Drosophila melanogaster: one gene and its partner. The protein of the gene in region 1 interacts with the protein of each later gene in a pairwise test. Each region holds a gene or a part of one and is shown on either strand. Other genes may lie near its edges.

What was found. Proteins that work in one complex are often made in the same cells at the same time.
Region 2: the proteins of CG43736 (region 1) and disco interact in a two-hybrid assay, tested with the Drosophila melanogaster proteins (one large-scale study listed by BioGRID).

Annotation. Positions count from the first base shown.
Region 1 is NC_004354.4:6,865,038-6,872,655, forward strand, and holds the start of CG43736 (uncharacterized protein), read left to right. Parts: upstream 1-3,189; 5' UTR 3,190-3,743; intron 3,744-4,223; 5' UTR 4,224-4,352; coding exon 4,353-5,954; intron 5,955-7,618.
Region 2 is NC_004354.4:16,209,033-16,219,693, forward strand, and holds disco (disconnected), read right to left. Parts: upstream 7,719-10,661; 5' UTR 7,219-7,718; intron 4,313-7,218; 5' UTR 4,247-4,312; coding exon 2,540-4,246; 3' UTR 1,566-2,539; downstream 1-1,565. UniProt on the Drosophila melanogaster protein: Required for the establishment of stable connections between the larval optic nerves, the Bolwig's nerves, and their target cells in the brain during embryonic development.

The DNA of each region.
Region 1 (7,618 bases):
TTTAAAGTGTATCTTCCAAAAAGATAACCGAAGAGAAATAACCGCAAGCATTTCAACTCGAATGTTTGTTTTCCACCTAAAAAGTACTCACTTAGAGCGTTTGGTAATTGACACACAGAGGGTTAAAGGTGGCAATGGGGCGGTGGGTGTTGAAAGAAGTGGGTGCAATGCGATGGTTTGGGGGGGTTGGGCACACGCTCACATTAACACCGGCACACCAACACTCTGTAACGCTCTCAGGTGCTGCGGGCGCATTAGCCGAAAGCAGAAAGCAAAGTGCAGCGGAGAAGGAGAAGAGGAGAGGAAAGCAGGGCAGAAAAAAAGTGATGTGAGTGGGAAGATTGCGGTGGAAAGTACTGCGGGTGGTGGGCGTTGCGCGCTTGGGGGGAGCCGAGGTCGAACGGATGTCCGGTCCCCATTGATTGGCCAGAGTCCCCAATGAAAGGAGCAGTGAGTGGGGTAATTTTATAGAGGCAAAGAGATACGCAGCAAATCTGCATAATTTTAAGTTTGTGTTAAGAAACTATGTAGATGGTAGAACGACTTTCCCCATTAACGTTTGGTGGCACAAATGCATTTACAAGAAAATGTTAGAGAAAATTCCTGAAGCAACTCGCACAAAAATTGTAAATAGCCATTAGTCGCTGTCAAAGCCAAGACTGTTTAAAAAGTGTTTACACATCCAGCAGTATTAACAATATTACTAACGTAATTTTGGCAAAATTTAACCGTTTCTAAGCGGTAAGATCTCTTGTTCGTTTGTATTTTTGTATATTGCCACCATACATATGTATATACATACATACATATGTACATATATATGTACAAACATCATCAAGCTCGGTAAGCCCTCCTAGTTCTACTTCTTTGTGCAGCAAATATCGGTTTTCTGTTCCCTGCGCAATCGTGAAGCTTGCCAAAATCATAGCAAACGGCAGAGCCGACCATCCGCCTACCGCCCCAATCCCCCGTTTTGAGCCACCCAACGCCCAATCCAATATTTCCCATTGATGGTTAAACGAACGGTCTACATCCACGCATGCAAACATACATACATGTGTACGCCTAGATTCATACATGCAGACAGACGCACACATGCAGGCACATGTTTAGTCGTGTTTACATAGCAAAGCGCGCACGAAACGGGGCCTTTCGTAACGCTCGCTTCTCACGCTGTCTCCCTCTTTCTCCCCTTACCCAACCCCTCGCACTTACACCCTCTCTCTCTCACTCTCGTACACTCTTCGTTCGCATCGATGGCGACTGACGATGTCGAATGCGTATGCCCACCACTACAGATGCACATTTCGCACACTTTAACCGTTGCACATAGCCTCGTACATATAGATTTATGTATGTATATGTATATACATATATATCTATGTACATAGTTAAGCATATGACTAAATACGAATACCGCACTATTAGAAGGGGGTTTACATGGCCGTAGAGAAAAAAAAAACAAAAAACATCTTCCACACAAAGTACAAGAAATACCCAAACACACTCACGCACAGCTGACTAATTAGCAAAGCAAAACACCAAAAATCAAAACCCCCACTCAAAATCAAGAGAGATGCCACGAAACAGGGAGCCCGTAGAACGAAAGAATTAAAGAAAGCCACGCACTGGAGAGTCTCGTACCGTACAAACTAAAAAGCCCGGGAGACACCTGAAACCAAAGCCGAGAGATACCAATAAACTGCAGTGCCTTCCATTGACACTCGGCTTTTGAATACCCTAAAAACTGATTGGTGTACTTACGTACATTCATATATAAATTGCGTTTCGGTTTATATTGTGTAATCCTATTACACACATAAGCATATGATTGAATGAAAACAAGTAGAACCTTTAATAGGCTACAGTTGGTTCTAAATAAATTGAAGTGGACATTGCATTAAGTAAAATACATATCACAATGTGTTTTGGCGCAACTGTACGTTTAGTTTTCGGGACCAAATAACACCTGTTTTGATCTGACTGTACTTCGCGGGACTCGTTATTAACTGGCAGTTAACTTTTTAGCCCCGTATGATGGCGGCACAATGGAATTTGACTTGGACTCTTGGACCTGGCTAATTAAATTTTTTTTTTTGGTAAATGTTTAGAGTCGGGGCGACCTTTTGGAGCTGCGCCCGTTCGTGAACTCGTGTATTCGTTTGTTCGTGTTCGTGCTCGGTCGTTCCCGGTTTTCTCTGCCTTCTGGAACGGGGCCTGTCTTGAAAGCCGCAGAGCGCGCGAATACCGAAAACTTCTTGCATTCGACGGTGCGAAAGGGACGGGGAGAGTGATGGCATGTGGGAAAGGGAGAGGGCTAGAGCGAGGAGAGGTGGCCATCGAATGCTAAGCAGGGGCCTTTGCTTTTGCTTTTGGTGCTTGCCAAAAATAGAGCCGCCCCGCCACGCCTTCGCCCACAAAGAGCACCCACCCACCCACTCCCGCACAAAAGCAACAACATCATCATCACACCACCAATACCAAAACCAATACCAATACTGTGACCCAGCCAGCTCTCTGTGAACATGTGTCAGTGTGTGTGGGTCTTGTATATAGCATAGCTTAAGCTTTCCTTGTACCGTGGTTCAAATGCCAGGGGAAAATGGCATTATTATATTCTTATAGAGAAATAATATATACAAATAAATTTGTACAACTGTATGTAAAGAGTAAACATGTAACAAGGAAACACTAATTTTAAAGTAAATTTAGCTAGTTTGCATTATTTTTTACACCATTTATATGAGTAAGCCACAAAGAAGCTTGCCTTTTTTGATCTGCTTGATTCCCAGATGGTGTTACTAAAAAATAATGCGAATTTGAGAGAAAGTTTAACAATAAAAAGTTCAAATTCGAGATACATATGTGTAGAGTATTTAAAGAACTTAATTGTGAGGTTAAATATTCAACAAATGGTAAACTTGTAATCCCATAAATTCGTATTATTTTATAAAATTTTACTTTCATACTGAATTGGCTAAGATCCCTTAATTAATTTCCATAAGTTGCTTATGTCTTAACCACTGTGGGTTGTAACTCTGCAGCTACGTTGACGTCGGCGTCGCAGCTTAGAGCTAGTCGATGAGCGGAAGGAGAGAGAGAGAGCAGGCGTTCGTCGAGGAGGGGGCTAGCCGAATAGGGTGAGAGAGAGCGATGGCAGAGTAGGAAAATGCATAAGAAGGGGGGTGGGGGCGCAAAAGGGAGACGGACAGCAGCAACAACAATTCGGCAAAATGTTCGTGGCAGCGTTGCAGCGACGCCGACTGCGCTACGGGTGTTTGTTTTTTTCTCTTTCGTGTTTTCCGTTTTTCTTTTGCGCTCTGCATCCGCTGCCGCAGTAGGCGTCGCTGCCGGCGCGCTGCGCCAGTGTGGGTGAGCGCACGGCTGTAGGTTTGTGTGTGTGCCGTACACATTTTTCAGTTGACTTCGTTGAAATAATTTTCGTAACAACGATCACACTCGTTTGTGTATTGCGAAGACGGGCGGACGTGCGTCGGCGTCGAATGCGGAACAAGCGCTAAAGCAAACTAGCGAAAAAGTGCGAATATCAAAAGAAAAGAGAACCAAACAAATTGTTTTTTTTTTTCACCACGAGCGTCGTCGCAAAAACAACAAAAAGGAATTTAATAAACCAAAAGCAAACGAGGAGAGAGAAAGCAGCAACTAAATATAACAACAAATGCATTAAATAGTTTTGTTTTTTTTTTTGCCACACTGCCAAAATGCAGTTAGCGTTTGTTTGTGTAAGTGTACCACATGCATACATAATGTATAATTTATATGCCAAAAACAACAACAGCAATAGCATTGTGTGCAAAATGTTGAAATGAGCTCGAAAAACAACAAAAATAAGTGCGCGCATTAACACACGCACACTTGCAAAGGAAAACATCTAAAAAAATTATCACGTGTGTGTGTGTGTGTGTGTGTGTGTGAGACAGCCGGTCAGTGTGACCGTTTGTGTGCCAGAAAGAGAAGGATCGAACAAGCCGGCTGTTTATTTCTTTTATAGTTCTGTTTAAATAACAAATACACTTGCCAAAAGAATTTCATTTTGATGTGTGAATAATTAAAAAAATCAGTAAGACATAATGCAGTCTTTGTTAAATATATATTGACATATATGAGCATATATATAAATACATACACAAATAACATATCAAATTGAAATGCTGGCAGTACCAATCGAACTGTCATCCTAACAAGTAAATTTTTCAATACAGCTCCTAATATAAAACCAAACCAAAAGTGTGGATATCGAAAAGTCTGGAAAAGTACGATAACGCAAGATTACATAGAGCGCGAGCAAGACAGCATTCTAGAGCAAAAGAGCGAGAGTGTGCGGAGGAGCGATGGCCAGCGAGGATGTGCAGATCACTAGCGTCATCGATGCCAATGGCCAGAGCCTACCGCTCCACGGCAACAGTTTGGGCGGTCCCCTGGGACCGCCCGTCAAGCAGGAGCGTCCCGATGACGCCGAGATCCGCGAACTAGCTGCCAAAATGAAGGAGCAGCAGAAGCAACAGGCCGCCCAGCAGGCATCCCGTCAAGCGGCCATGCAGCACTCGAATGGGGGCGCCATTGCGGCATCCTCGGCCGGTGGCAACATGCAGCCGCCGATCACAAATGGCAATGGCCAGACCAATATCATGAACTACCTATCTCGTCATCAGAAACTACCCAACGGCACCATGCAGGTGGTGCCCGCCTTGGCCTCCAATGGCCGCTCGAATGGAGCCGTCAGCGACTCCGGCTCGGACAAGAAGTCCTCCACGGGACCCTGCGACGAGGAGTCCATTCAAGGCCACTTCGGCTGGGCTCAGTTCGGCAAGGTATCCATACCGTACATCTATCGCCAATCGGAGAAGTACTGCTCCGTGCGCATGATCGAACTGAAACTGCTGGGCAAATACCTTAACTGCCTGCATCCGGATATCTACTCCAGCTGCACCTGCGTGCGCAGCTACTACATCACCGATGCGGAGGCCCGTCTCTTCATCGAGATTAATCATAAGCATTGTGACGGCGAGTTCGGTCGCGACATCTTCAACCAAAAGGATTTGGTGGTGCGTCTCAGTGACGCATCCAAGTTCTATCAGTTCCTGGATATTTGCTATAGGAAACTAGTCTCCGGCAGCAAGACGCCGTCGGAGAAGTGCGGCTTTATTCGCATCAACAAGGAGTCCGTGGTGCCCTACACTGTGCGCAACAATCAGCAGGTTGTGCCGCTCTTTTATTTTGAGGGCGAGACCGAGAATCTAAAGACCAAAGCGGAGCTGCTCAATGGCTGGGACCTGGCTTATCTAAAGTTCTGCTGCAAGGTGCAGGGCATACGCAATGAGCTCTTCTCCAGCGAGAACGTGGCCGTGATTTCGCTGACGGACATCAAAAGCTACTTCCCAAATGGCACCGAATTCGAGGACTACTGGCCCAGCAAGGTGGTTGACTCCAATCTGCTCATTGGCAATCGGGCCAATGTCAACAACTCGGTCAATTGGACCCGTCAACCCTCGGCGCCGCCTCCAAAAGTGACCACCTCCGTTTCCGGATCGTCCGGCCCTTCCTCCTCCAGCGGCGGCAACATGGGCCAGAACACATCAGCCGCATCATCCTCCGCGAACACCGCTGGTGGCCAACAGGTGACCTCAAAATCTCAGCAACAGCACGCTGCCTCTGCCGCCGCAGCAGCGGCGACGGCGCATCAACAGCATCTGATGAAGCAACGCGCCGCCGCAGCAGCAGCTGCCGCCGGCGCCAATGGTGTGGCGAATGCGGCAAATAGTTTTGGGGCAGCCGCGGTAGCGGCCTTCAATTCCCAGGCGGCGGCAGCGGCGTCGATGCTCCAGCAGTCGCAGGGCAACAACAGGATGTTATCGCAGGCCACCGTCCAGGCTTTGGCCAGCAGCGGATGGATGTCCGGACAGACAAACCTGCAGCTCCACGCCCAGATGATGGTGAGTTGAGCACTAGGCTAGCTAACGTTTTCCTCCAATTAATGCACAATGTTTATCAAACTTTGGGATATCAAAGCTATTAGCAAAGTTTGAGAAGTAATGCCCAATCGTAATCTGGAATATAATATCAACGTTGCTATGGTATCATTTATTATACCCCAGCTACTGAACAATATTATAGATACAAGATTCTTTACACTCAACCGAATTATCGTTTTTCAAGCCTTATCTAGAAATTCGAGCCTACTTTAGAGTAATGCGAGTCGGTGTTTATGCAATGTTTGTGATATACATTAATCCAGCTCATTTGTGAATTGGCATTTTATTTTATTTCGTAAAATTGTAAATGGATACTTATTTATCACTAAGAGCTACTATTTTATACTAGAATCCTTCGGCTCAAAATCGAAATGAATGACATTTCCGGTACTTAATTGGTTTAACAAATTGTCTACCACTCCATACATTAGTAATGTCACACCCAATGTTAAATTACTTCTATTTTAATGGTATAGTATATTATAAAGTTCAAAAATGAACTGCTTAGAATGGCATTTAAAACTAGTTATTTGACTACCATTGATATAGAAAATCCAGGCCCGACTTTGGTGGAGACCAGTTCGAAAAAGGTGGAAATGGGATGTATTGGGGGTATTTTGGATGTATATGTGTGCGTACGGAGGGATTTCTCTAGAGAGTGCATGGCCGTGTTTTGTTGGCCTTGCTTGTAATGATACACAAACTTACATATGCTAGGCAGTACATATGTACATCGTACACATATATAAATCGCTGTTTGTGTTAGCGTGCTTTTTTTTTCTAGCTGATTTTTTCGCAGTTTGGCAACAGCGCAGCAGCAGCGTTCGACGGCATCAAAAACTAGGTCACCAGTATAGTGTGCATAGGAGAGTGGCTCCATCTCCCTCTATGCCCATCCCCATCTCTTTCCCCCCACTGGTGCCCTCTCTTCCCTCTTTGGGATGTGCATATGAGTGTGTGTGTGTGTGTGTGTGTGCTGGCCACAACCTGTTGATGTTGCTGCTGTTGTTGCTGCCACTACAGTCGAACTTCTATAAAGTAAACTTCCTTTCTCACGAAAGAAAGATGTTTGTTTTACAAACATTTCACCATAAATTAATTATAAATTCATAAATTTATAATTAATTAAAATTCATGTGTGTTTGAAATATTCTTAATATATCTAGAACTTGAGGAATTTGTTGTGACCTTCAAAATTAAAATCGGCCTCTAACACATAAAACGTAAACAAAAAAAAAAAAGAAATACAAGCCGTCTAGATACTCGCTATGCGTAATGGCAATCTTATCAAATCGGAGACCTAAAAACGTAGTTCTAATCGCCTACGAAATCGTTCACATAGCACAAAAAGTCTTTAAGCGTCTAATAGTCGCAATTTATTAATCGATTGTTGTTGCTGAACTAATTTGCAGTGCCAATAACTTCCGCCTTCTTTGCATTCATAATTGTTAATTATGCACAACAATTCGCCATAATTGCACACATGGTAAAGTAGGTCATCACAACGATTAACTAGTGGGTTATATTAAATTAACAAATCAAGAGCAAAAAGGATGTAAACATGTAGTTCCATTGAGTTAGTTTACTTTAGTTTAGTTTTTCAAAAATGTCAACCCTTTTTCAAG
Region 2 (10,661 bases), 9.3 Mb from region 1:
GGAATCCAAATTCTCGAGTTCTTTAGCTGCGAGCTGTGCTCGTTCTGCATTCAGAACGCTGAGCACGGAACTCTCGACTCATATCCTTCGCTTCAAACCACTTGACATTTTCACAGTCTGGCATCCATGTCAATTTTGCGGTTTCGGTTTCATACACATCCATGTGGATGCGATTGTGGATGTGTGGGCACGGGCACGGGCACCATTCTCCACATGAATGTGGAATTTTGGGCTCGGATTTTGTGGGCACACCGACAGCAATGATATCTTAAGCGTTCTGAATAATAGTTTGTGAATAATGGTACAACTAAAAGTCGGGGGAGTCGTAAAATACAAACAATCGTGGAGTTTTTTGCATAACGAACGACTGAACTACAATTTTTACGATTGCATTCCGATTTATTTGGTATGTAAAAATCGAATGGGACAATATTGAAACAAGGCGTACAATATGTATGTACATATGTGTTCTTTGATCTCAAAAAGCATTCTTTGGCCATTATAGAGCTACACTCGACCCCATTTTGACCAGGCCAGTAATTAGTCGCTTTAAAGTAAGCCGTGTCCGAAGTGATTGGGAAAATAAAGCAGAGAATATTGTGGAAGCGGTGTTAATATCGTTGCGTGTTTCATAGAATCGTAAATATGTGCGAGTGGCGGACGAGAATGTGAGATTCCTACAGCCGTCTACTTAGGGTCTTTCTATTTGGCCACTTACACTACAGACTATGTATCTGTATCTGCATATATGTACATATATTTGTATCTATATTGGTGTGCGTGCGCCTGAGTGTGTAATCCGTCCATAAGTGGCCTCAAATGCCTATCCATAATGATGATGATGATGTGGTTGCCGCTGCGACCAATAGTTGGTCATTCATCACGACGATTCGCGGGGGGAGTACGATATGTACAAGTATTGGATGGAGTATAGGAATATGGTATGGTATGGCATGGTATGGTATGGCATGGTATGGTTTGGTTTGGTATGGTATGGTATGGTTCGGAACCGTAAAGTATGGTTTCGGTATGGTATGCTATGCTATAGTTGCGGAGCCGAAAACCAATTTATGCCGCATGTCACGCCTTCTTGTGAGTGTCCGTCGGCATTTCGGATACTCATTTGTGCAAACGGGAGGGACAGACCATTTCGAGGGCGTTGCCCATTATAGATCTCATCAGACCAATACTATATACATTTGAATCTGGATTCGTTGAGACAAGCAAATATGTACGTGTGCTTTTCGCAGGCGAGAAGAGCTAGCTTGACTTGTGATTGTGATCCAAATGAGTTACGCACATCGGTCTATTTACGTAAAAACATTACTAAATGATTTAAGGTGGGCAGTAATATATCTGAATTAAATGGCATTTAACGAAAATAGCAATTTTTTGTAGATATTTTCCACTGGACTTTATATCTTTCGAATGGAAAAACAAAATCCGCATAAAATCGATGACTCATCTATATTATTCACATAAAGTACATATGCTCTATTTTCATAGTGAAAACATGAAAATTATGTATCCGCCCAGAGAACCAATAAAAAAAAGCATCTTTGATTACATGTTTCTTCAATTTTGCCGTTGTTTATTTGTTAATAAAAAACTTAAAATCTTGTTGTAATACAGTACACAATCGTCGGGAGGAATTTTCGTTTGCGATAGCAATAACATTTTCGTTCACCTACGATCTATCAACCTTTGCGATGGATTTTTATAATTTTGTTTTTTTTTTTTTGGGTTTATTTTTTTTCTTTAGGGATTGGTTGAATTGAATCTCTTCTGGTTTTTTATTTTTTTAACACACGGGGGGGATATGTTTCAATAGAATTTGCTTGCTGTGTTAGTACATCCAAGTTATACAATACAATATAGTTTTATTGGCTACGAAAAAAATTGTCTTAAAACTATTTAATATATGCCATTCATAATATATATTTCGTTATAAATATCAATACTTCGTTGTACACCGATAGAGGGGGCAGGGAAACGGAACCCGTTCCAAAATCCCCGCTTCTGCACTGCCCAGCCCGCTTTTCAGATGACAGACTTTAATTTTTTTTTTTTTTTGGATCCGATCCTGGGATCCCACACACACACACACACACACTCTCATTCATGCATCTGCACATTCACACTGAGGAACGGATTGAATACTATACACTTAGATGTCGCACTACAGTATACATTATACATTATACATAGGTTTCCAAAAAAAAAAAAAATCCATATAACACATGTACGAGCAGAAAAAGCTTAGTTTCGGAGCAATTCCAGTTTTCAGAGGGGGGGGTGGGGTACTTAGTGGCATTGGTTGCGGGTGTTGCGGGGTCGCGCCTGAGGAGGAGTGCCAGCCATTTAATGGTCAAGCTGTGGCACAGCCCCACCACCTGAAGCTCCACCTTTTTGTGTAATGCAGCACGCCACCAAATGTATTCTTCTTAAAATACGATTCACACACAAAAAAAAAATATAAAAACAAATTTGACTAAGGAAATCATCTAGAAATCATCGCCATGGATCAGCAGTCTGGACATTAGACGGAAATCGGCGCATTCGTGGCCGCCGGCGATTGCTGTTGCGGCTGCTGTTGGTGGTGCTGATGGTGATGATGGTGGTGGTGACCCATGTGGTGATGACCCAGATGATGGTGCTGCTCCTGATGGTGGTGGCTCAGGGTCAGATGATGATGCTGCTCCTGCTGGTGTTGCTGCTGCAGCTGGTGATGGTGGTTGTATTGCTGGTGCTGTGTCTTCAGCAGCATGGAGCGGTACATTTCGGAGAGGAGACTCCACATGGGCGGCGAGTCCTTGGCCAGATCCACGGGTGATCCCGCCGGCAGGAAGGCGGTGGGCGGTGCCTGGCTGGTGGCAGCGGCAGCCGCTGCGGCGGCAAACATCTGGGTCTGCAGCAGGCGCAGATGATGATGCTCCTCGAGGTCCAGAACGGGCAGTGGGAGCATTTGCCGCCGGCTGGTCATGTAGGCACTGTCGCTATCCGGGTCCAGATCCATTTTGATGCTCGTCTGTGGTGGATTGGCGCTAGCGCTGGCGGAGGAACTAGAGGCGGAGGAGGCGGCTGCCGTGGAACAGGCGGAGCTGGAGGCGGTGCTGTCGTGACGCTTACGCTTGCCCAGCAACTGATCCATGGAGAAGGCATCGCTGGGCGAGCGCTTCTCACGCTCCAGCTCATGCTCCTGTTCGGGTTCGTGCTCCTTGTCGGATTCCACATCCTGTTCCTGCTCCTTTTCCGCCTCCCGCTCCCGTTCCTGCTCCTGCTCCTGCTCCTGTTCCCGATCCTGCTCCGACTTGCGACGCTTGTGAAGGCTGAAATCCAATGGCTGGTCAGCTGCCCGCTCCTCATCGGCGGCAATGCTACTACTGCTGGCCAGGCTCAAGCTGCAGTGCATCTCCTCATCCTGCTCATTATCCCGTTCGTGTTCCTCCTGATCCTCGCTGGAGGCCGCCGGACTAGAGCTATTGGCCTGCATGTCCACGTACACAAAGTCGTTGTCATCTTCGGGATCAGCATCCTGTTCATTGTCCACCGATCCAGAATCGGGATCCTGACAGCCGGTGGAAAGCAGGCCCAAGCCATGTAGACCCGCCTGTCCGCCGAACATGACGTACGGATGGTGACCATGATGCGGCGGCGGCGGTGGCAGAAGTCCGGGAAAGGCAACCGGAAGTCGTCCGGCGACAGCGGCCGCTGCTGCGGCTGTTCCGGGCGAGAAAACCGGAAACTGCTGGGCAGTGCGGCCATCGTGCGGCGAGATCTTGCGCCGGATGTGTGGCGAATGGAGTTTGGGATTCGGATTGGCGCTATGGCGATTCCTCGAACGCCTCGAACTGAACACCATATTGCAGCCCTCCACCGTGCACTTGTGCATCTCGCGAAGATGCACGGCCGAAAAGTGAATCTTAAGGGCGCCCTTGTCGCAGAAGGTCTTGAAGCAAATGGAGCACTGTACTCGTTTCTTTCCCGTGGCTGGATTGATAAACTGACCGGCCAGATTGATGGGCGGTGAGCCCCAGCGACGAGGCTTTAAGGATGAACCTGATCCAGTGCCCGATCCCGCTGCCGATCCCGATCCAGAGCCACTGGATCCGCCGGGTGAGCTGGCCGGAGAGGCGGCATTTGGCTGCGGGTGTGACGGTAGATGGGAGTGCACATGCTGGTGGGAATGTGGGCCATGGCCCAGCAGATAAGCCGGTGACATGAACGGATTCATTATGTGCTCCATGTCGTCTGTGGTGGATTTTGTTTCTATGGTCGCGCTGGCGATGGCGATGGCGATGACTGGTGGTGCCTGGAAAACAAACAAGAAACAGAAACGAATCGTTAGGAGTGTCAATCAGGGAGTGTCAATCAGGAAGTCAGTGAATCGGTCAGTCCTAATCGAAAACTATTGCCAGGGTTGCGGGGCAAATCCGATTGCGCAACTACAACTGGGAAACTGGAATCAACCTTATCGCCGAGAGTCAGCAGGGCAAATTGTTGAATGGTCTGTGGTGCCGGGGACATGGACATTGACTCCTGGACCTGGGACATTGGGCAGTGGTCATTGATGCGCAATTAGAGTGCGAAAAGTCAAGACGGTCGAATAAGTCAAGGGGAGAAAACTTTATTTTGGGGGGGGGTCTCAATTAATCAGTGGATTACAGCGATTAGTTGGTCATTGCTGTAAGATACATTCTGAAATCCAGATTTAAAAGAAAGTCTTTAAGGCTGCCAGCTGTGTGCTTCAAAAAAAAAAAAACCCCATTGCTGTTCAAATGGCTTTTTCATTAATTAATATTCGATATCCTTAAGATATAGATTAATATCTGAGGCGAATGTATATGTACATATGACTGCATTGCCACGCCAAAAGCACTAATCTATAGCATTGGAAAGCGCTCTAAAGTCATATCTCAAGTGTATTACCGAAATTCCCAAGTGAAAGCTTCCAAGGAGCTTAGCCAACTTTGTGCAAATCCAGCTAGATTTATTGGTAAGACACACACTGCTTACAATAACTCAGACAAGCGAACATTTATATCGGCGACACCGATGGCGGCATATCTTTCATGTCGAGCCGATAGTACAGTAGAACAACTAGAGTTGCCATGTTTTGTATTTTGAAATAATCAAAAGGGGTATCCCAGTGACTGACGCTACATCATTTGTTTAATCTTTATCATTTTGGTTCCTATGCACCCAATTTCTGTCGTAGCCAAGGCCCACTGTACACTAACACTGGCGCATTACTTGTGTAAGTGCACATTGCCTCATTTACTCGAGCGAAATCTTTTACAGCTTTTTCGGTTCTTCTGGCCATTAAAATCGCCTCTGACAACGTCGACGGCGACGACAACATGCGGCGATCAGTGTCGGACTTCGACTTTGGATCCGATCGGTCGGAGTTAAAGCCAAAACCAAAACCAAAAGCAAAGCTAAAGCCAGAGCTAGCTCATTTTTTTTATTGTGGACTCCGTTCGCTACCGTAATTGTGAGCAGTCGACTTGACGTTAAAAACAGAAACAAATCAGGGGTAAAAAAAAAAAAAAAGAAGTGAACCGAACCCAGGGGCGTCACAAAACTGGGGACAATTGCGGTGAGATGCGGATGACGATGGTGATGATCGTGTGTGCGATGTCGTGGCTGGCTATCTGGATTCGATCTCAAAAGTCGAACACACATTCGCATTCGCTTGCCCAATGCCAGCTAAAAAGTTAAGCCGAAAACCACATACGACTATGGCTCACACATACAGGCATACAGGTAACACGCACACAGTTGCAGGAAGCCAGGAGATGGTCGCTTTTTATGGGGCTCATTAGTAACGATGACAACAATAGCATTAAAATGAGTGTATGTACACACGGCGAAAATGCGAAAGCGCAAGAAAAAAAAAAGAAGAGCAAAAAGGGGGGAAAAAAAACTTAATTGTCAGGTACTTGGAAGTAATCAGTTTCTGACTAGGTGCCGAAAATATTGTTACCATTCAAGAAATAGAGAATGACCCAAAGATGTTGCAATAATTTTCTAGATCATTATAAGTTAACTATATCATATGAGTTGAAGGTGCCTATACCTTTTTATCTTCCAAGAATCTTTTAAAAAAGAGATTCAACTCAAAAAAAAATATAGATCTTTTAACATTTCAATATAAAACAATTCAAGATCTAAGCATCATAACAATCTTGCATAGCACAATAAGGCGCAACGGAAAACAATAACAACCTCTCTATTTTCTCTCAGTGCACGCGGTCGACAGATCGAGGTGAGTATGCATGTACATGGGTAATTATTTTTGTCAAACGCTTAAAATGTCTTAAGCCACCGATGGTGAAAGGGGGGGTGATGTTGGGCAGCTGGGGGTAGGGGAAAAACCAATCACAACTTTTGATGGCTCTCGGACGAAACGTTTTTTGATTATCGGCAGTGGCAAAGGCAGCAAAATGTTGAAAGTACCCAAGACAAGAAACGACAAGATTGAAGAATTCCGAGAGTTGGGAGACGCTTTAGATGGTAGATGGTAGATCCAAGATCTGTGGAGTACGGTGTGTGGCAGTTGGGGATGGAAGATGCCGAGATGTGAGCAATCCGGCGGCTATAATTGCTGTTGTAGTTGCTGTTAATAGTAGTACATTATAATAAGCAGGAGTCGATGGGCACAAGGGGCATGCAAGGGGCATGCGATGGTCCAAAGATGACAACGCCGATGGTCCGGACATCAACGAGAAAAACAGAGCTCGAAAACCGCAGACAAAAATCTTAATTACAACTTTGACATTTGGCGTTTCCCCCGAAGACATCACTTTTTTGTCGTCGAAGCTCACGCAGCAAATAGACAAAAATGGGTTTACGAACATTGGATTAACAAGCTGTTTTCAATTTAGCAAAGTCAGGATATTATAAGAAAATCCATAGACTAGAGGTAAAAGATGGCAGCACATCACCAGAGATCCCATGAAAATGGTAATACCATATTAATGCCACTAGCAGCCTATGTGATCCTAACAAGATCATTATTTACCACGAAAAGAATCCTATTGTTGCGTTCCTATTTCATAACACAATTCTTGAATGGGTAATATTTTTATGGCACCAGGATTTCTTTTTAGAAAATACTCCTCTGATCTCGAAAAATATTCACTATGACTTCACTTGAATTTGAATTCTTTGCTTGAAGTGCCGACGGCAAATCAACTTTACTCGAACTATACATACCTTTTGCTAATTTAGCAGCGAGTTGTAGATATTTTATTGTATTTTGGTTTATTGCTGTTTTTTTTTTTTGTTTTAGATTTTCTCACTTTGTCACAGGTTTGAGATTTAAAAAAAGGGTTTCTTTCGCTTTGTTTTGTTTTGATATTTTGTTGCGTAAAAAGTTGATAAATTCAGATGGTAGAATTCACTGTTGGAGCTGTGTGCTGTTGTTGTTTTCATGCCCGTGGTGCATTTATTTTTGTTGCATTTTGCTGAGATATTAAAAAAGTTGGTCGTTCACAGTTGACGATGACACACACACACACACACACACGCTCGTATGCACGCACACTTATGCACTGGGTCGCGCGGCAGAGAGAAGAGTGGACTGGACGCGAATATGCGGATGCGAATATGTGAATATGCGGAGTGGCAAACGAAGTAGCGACGAAGATGCGGATGTGCGGAGAGCAGGGACAGCAGAGATCCACTTCTTCGAATGTCGTGGGTGACACTGATTGTCGATTTGTCGTTTCACCAACGAATTTGTGCGGCGACTGCGACGCCGGCAGCGCAGCGGGCAGAGAGCGAGCGACAAATGCGGCGACACCGACACCGACACACCGACTGACTGACACAAACACACACGCACACGCGGGGTGGGTGACATTTGGCTCTCTCTCGCTCGCTCTCCCGCTCGCTCTTGCGCCCTCTCTCTTTCACTCTTTCGCTCTTGCACCTGGAAGAGTGTGAGAGAGCGCGCTATTGGAATTGGCCTTCGTCACATTGTCGTCGATGGGTCATTAGGCACTCGCCCGAGTGCGAGCGAGAGATCCGCCCGCACTTGAGTCCATCCCGCTCGCCCAGTCGGCAAAGCAGTGCGAGGCAAGAGTAGCCACCACTCTCTTACTCACGCCGCGAAAGAGCGCCGTCCCGTGCGTGCGAGCGGCTTGGCACGCTCGTGCGGCTATCTCGCGCCCGCTCGCACACTGTCGTCTGAGTGGACGAAACCGTTTCGTTGGGTTGACACATGCGACATGCGACGTGTGTGTGTGTGGTCAGTGCGGCACACACATTCACACGCACTGCCGCCAGCCAAAGAGAACGCAGCGCTCGCTCTCGCCGCTTGCTGGTATGGGTGCCTTGGGTTCGATGGTGTGAGTACATGGCCGGGCACTATAGTGTGACAGAGCGAGAGAGAGGGAGCCGGAGCACAAGAGCGCAAGAGGGAGAGAGCAACGAGAGTGAAATGGCAATGGCCACAGTATACAGTACACAGTACGTAATTTGTCGCTGCTGCGACGTCACTTTTTGTCTTGGGCTTCTCCTCTCTGCTTCTCTTCACGAAGGTTCTTTTGAAATTTTTGTCATTTGATGTCTTGTCCACTCGGTGCTGTGCCCTCTCGCCGTCCCTATCGCACCCGCACGAATGGCCGCGTTGAGCGGCTCTCTTTGTTTTGCGATTGCGCTGTGCATCTGTATGGGTGTGTGTGTGGGTGCGAATGTCGCTGTATAGGTGTATCTGTGTATGGGTGACACTTTGGCAATGGGGGCGATTCGCTTCGATTTTTTTTCCCTGTCGCCACACAGCACCAATGGAATTCGAGCACTGGTGACAAAGAAGCGACGCTGCTGCTTCCTCTTTCCACCCCACACCCCTACCGCAGTCCCTCAACGATCCTATCACCATGACCGCCCCCACCACCACTATATATGTATGTACATATGTATGCATGTATAACTTATGTAAATTGCACAGCTTCGGTATGTAAGTGCCTTATGTGATAGCAGCACCTACACACATATACACAGCTCCTTGTCGTTTCATTGTCCTTTTCATTGCCGAATTAAAATAATTCTCACCCACACTCCCACACAGTATATGTATGTATTTGCTAGACGCCGGAATGTCCCACATAAGGATACAAAAGCACACATACATATTTGGCCACATTTGTTCTTCAATTTATCCACACAAGTGTCCGAGAAAAGTTCTTAAAGCGAAAAAAAACCGTACGGAACAAATCCTATTTGCATTAATCACCATAAAAAAATATAACAATAAGGACCGCATTATTATGTTGCATACCCACAAGGCGTTAGCATCAATGTTGGACTTCCAGGAAATGGTCAGGACTTAATAAAAAGCACTCTCTTAACATTCAATATCTTTAAGTATTACATATCATACCATACGTTTAAATGGTATATAAGGTTCTAACTAAAATTCATTCAAGTAAGTTTACTTACTACTTATAAACCAAACCCAAATCAGTTTCTTGTTAACCTAAAGCTTTAAGCTTTAAGGCTTCTCAAATACAATGCATCACTCATTCAATTAGTTGTTTCTTATTTAGCTTTCGTAATCGCGTAATCGCAAGTACCTTTGCAGAAACATTAATTGTTCTAAATATATAAATAACACAATTTATTCACTGTTGTTTTCCTAAAAACTATGTTTACTTCAATTTTTAATCTGAAGGTGGGAATAAATCCTCCAAACCCAAACTATAATTCTTTCAGATAAACAGATTTATCTGAAACTTAAAAGCACCATAATTCCACTTTAAAATGTGATGTGAAAATTAATGATTATAATTAGATGTGTTGTGAAAATCATTTTTCAACGAAGTTTTTACAGAATGTACCATCAATTTAAGTGACAAGTGCAGCAACCTTTATGCTGCCTCGATTCTATTCAACAAGGTGTCCTCAAATTGCTTGATTTGAGAATAATATCTGATAATATTAATGTGTGGAGTGCCTTTATAATCGATTCCCCATTGCTGAGTGTCACTTTTCAATTCGGCGCCGCCAACTGGCCTTTGTGAATTGATTGATGTGAGTTCGAAGGTGAAAAGTCAATCCTCGAAGGTTTTTTTTTTAATATTGTTTGGAACGAATGGAAATATCTTCTCTGGGGTCATCTCGATGTCGCCCCCCCATTTTTTTTTTTTTCATGTTGGACAGTGCTAGTCAACACTTTCGTTTTTCCTTTCTCTTCTATTGTGTAGCGAAATGGTTTCATTAATCAAAAATTTGGAGAAATAAATGCTCGTTTCTTTCGATTTATTTCGGCCCCCTGCCAGATTTGATAAATAATTGCTATCTTATTATGTCGATTGTCGTTGCTGTCGCCGCTGGAATCAAAATTCAGGGACTTCAGAGTCCCACAGATCCACTGTCACCGGGCTAAAGTCAAGAACAAGATACTGAATCGGAATCGGGCACAAAGTTCTTTATTAACACGGGAATAGCACGGCACCCTTTGTGCACGAACACCAAAATCGAAACGTAATCGAGGTCCGAGATCCGAGACGAAATCGATCAATCATTTTTCACACTTTGTCGTCCAGGTTCTCATTCTCCATCCCATTGCCATTACGATTACCATTACCATTCTCCGTCCTCTATCCTCTATCCTCATTCCCATACCCATACCCATACCCATCCAGATCGAACCA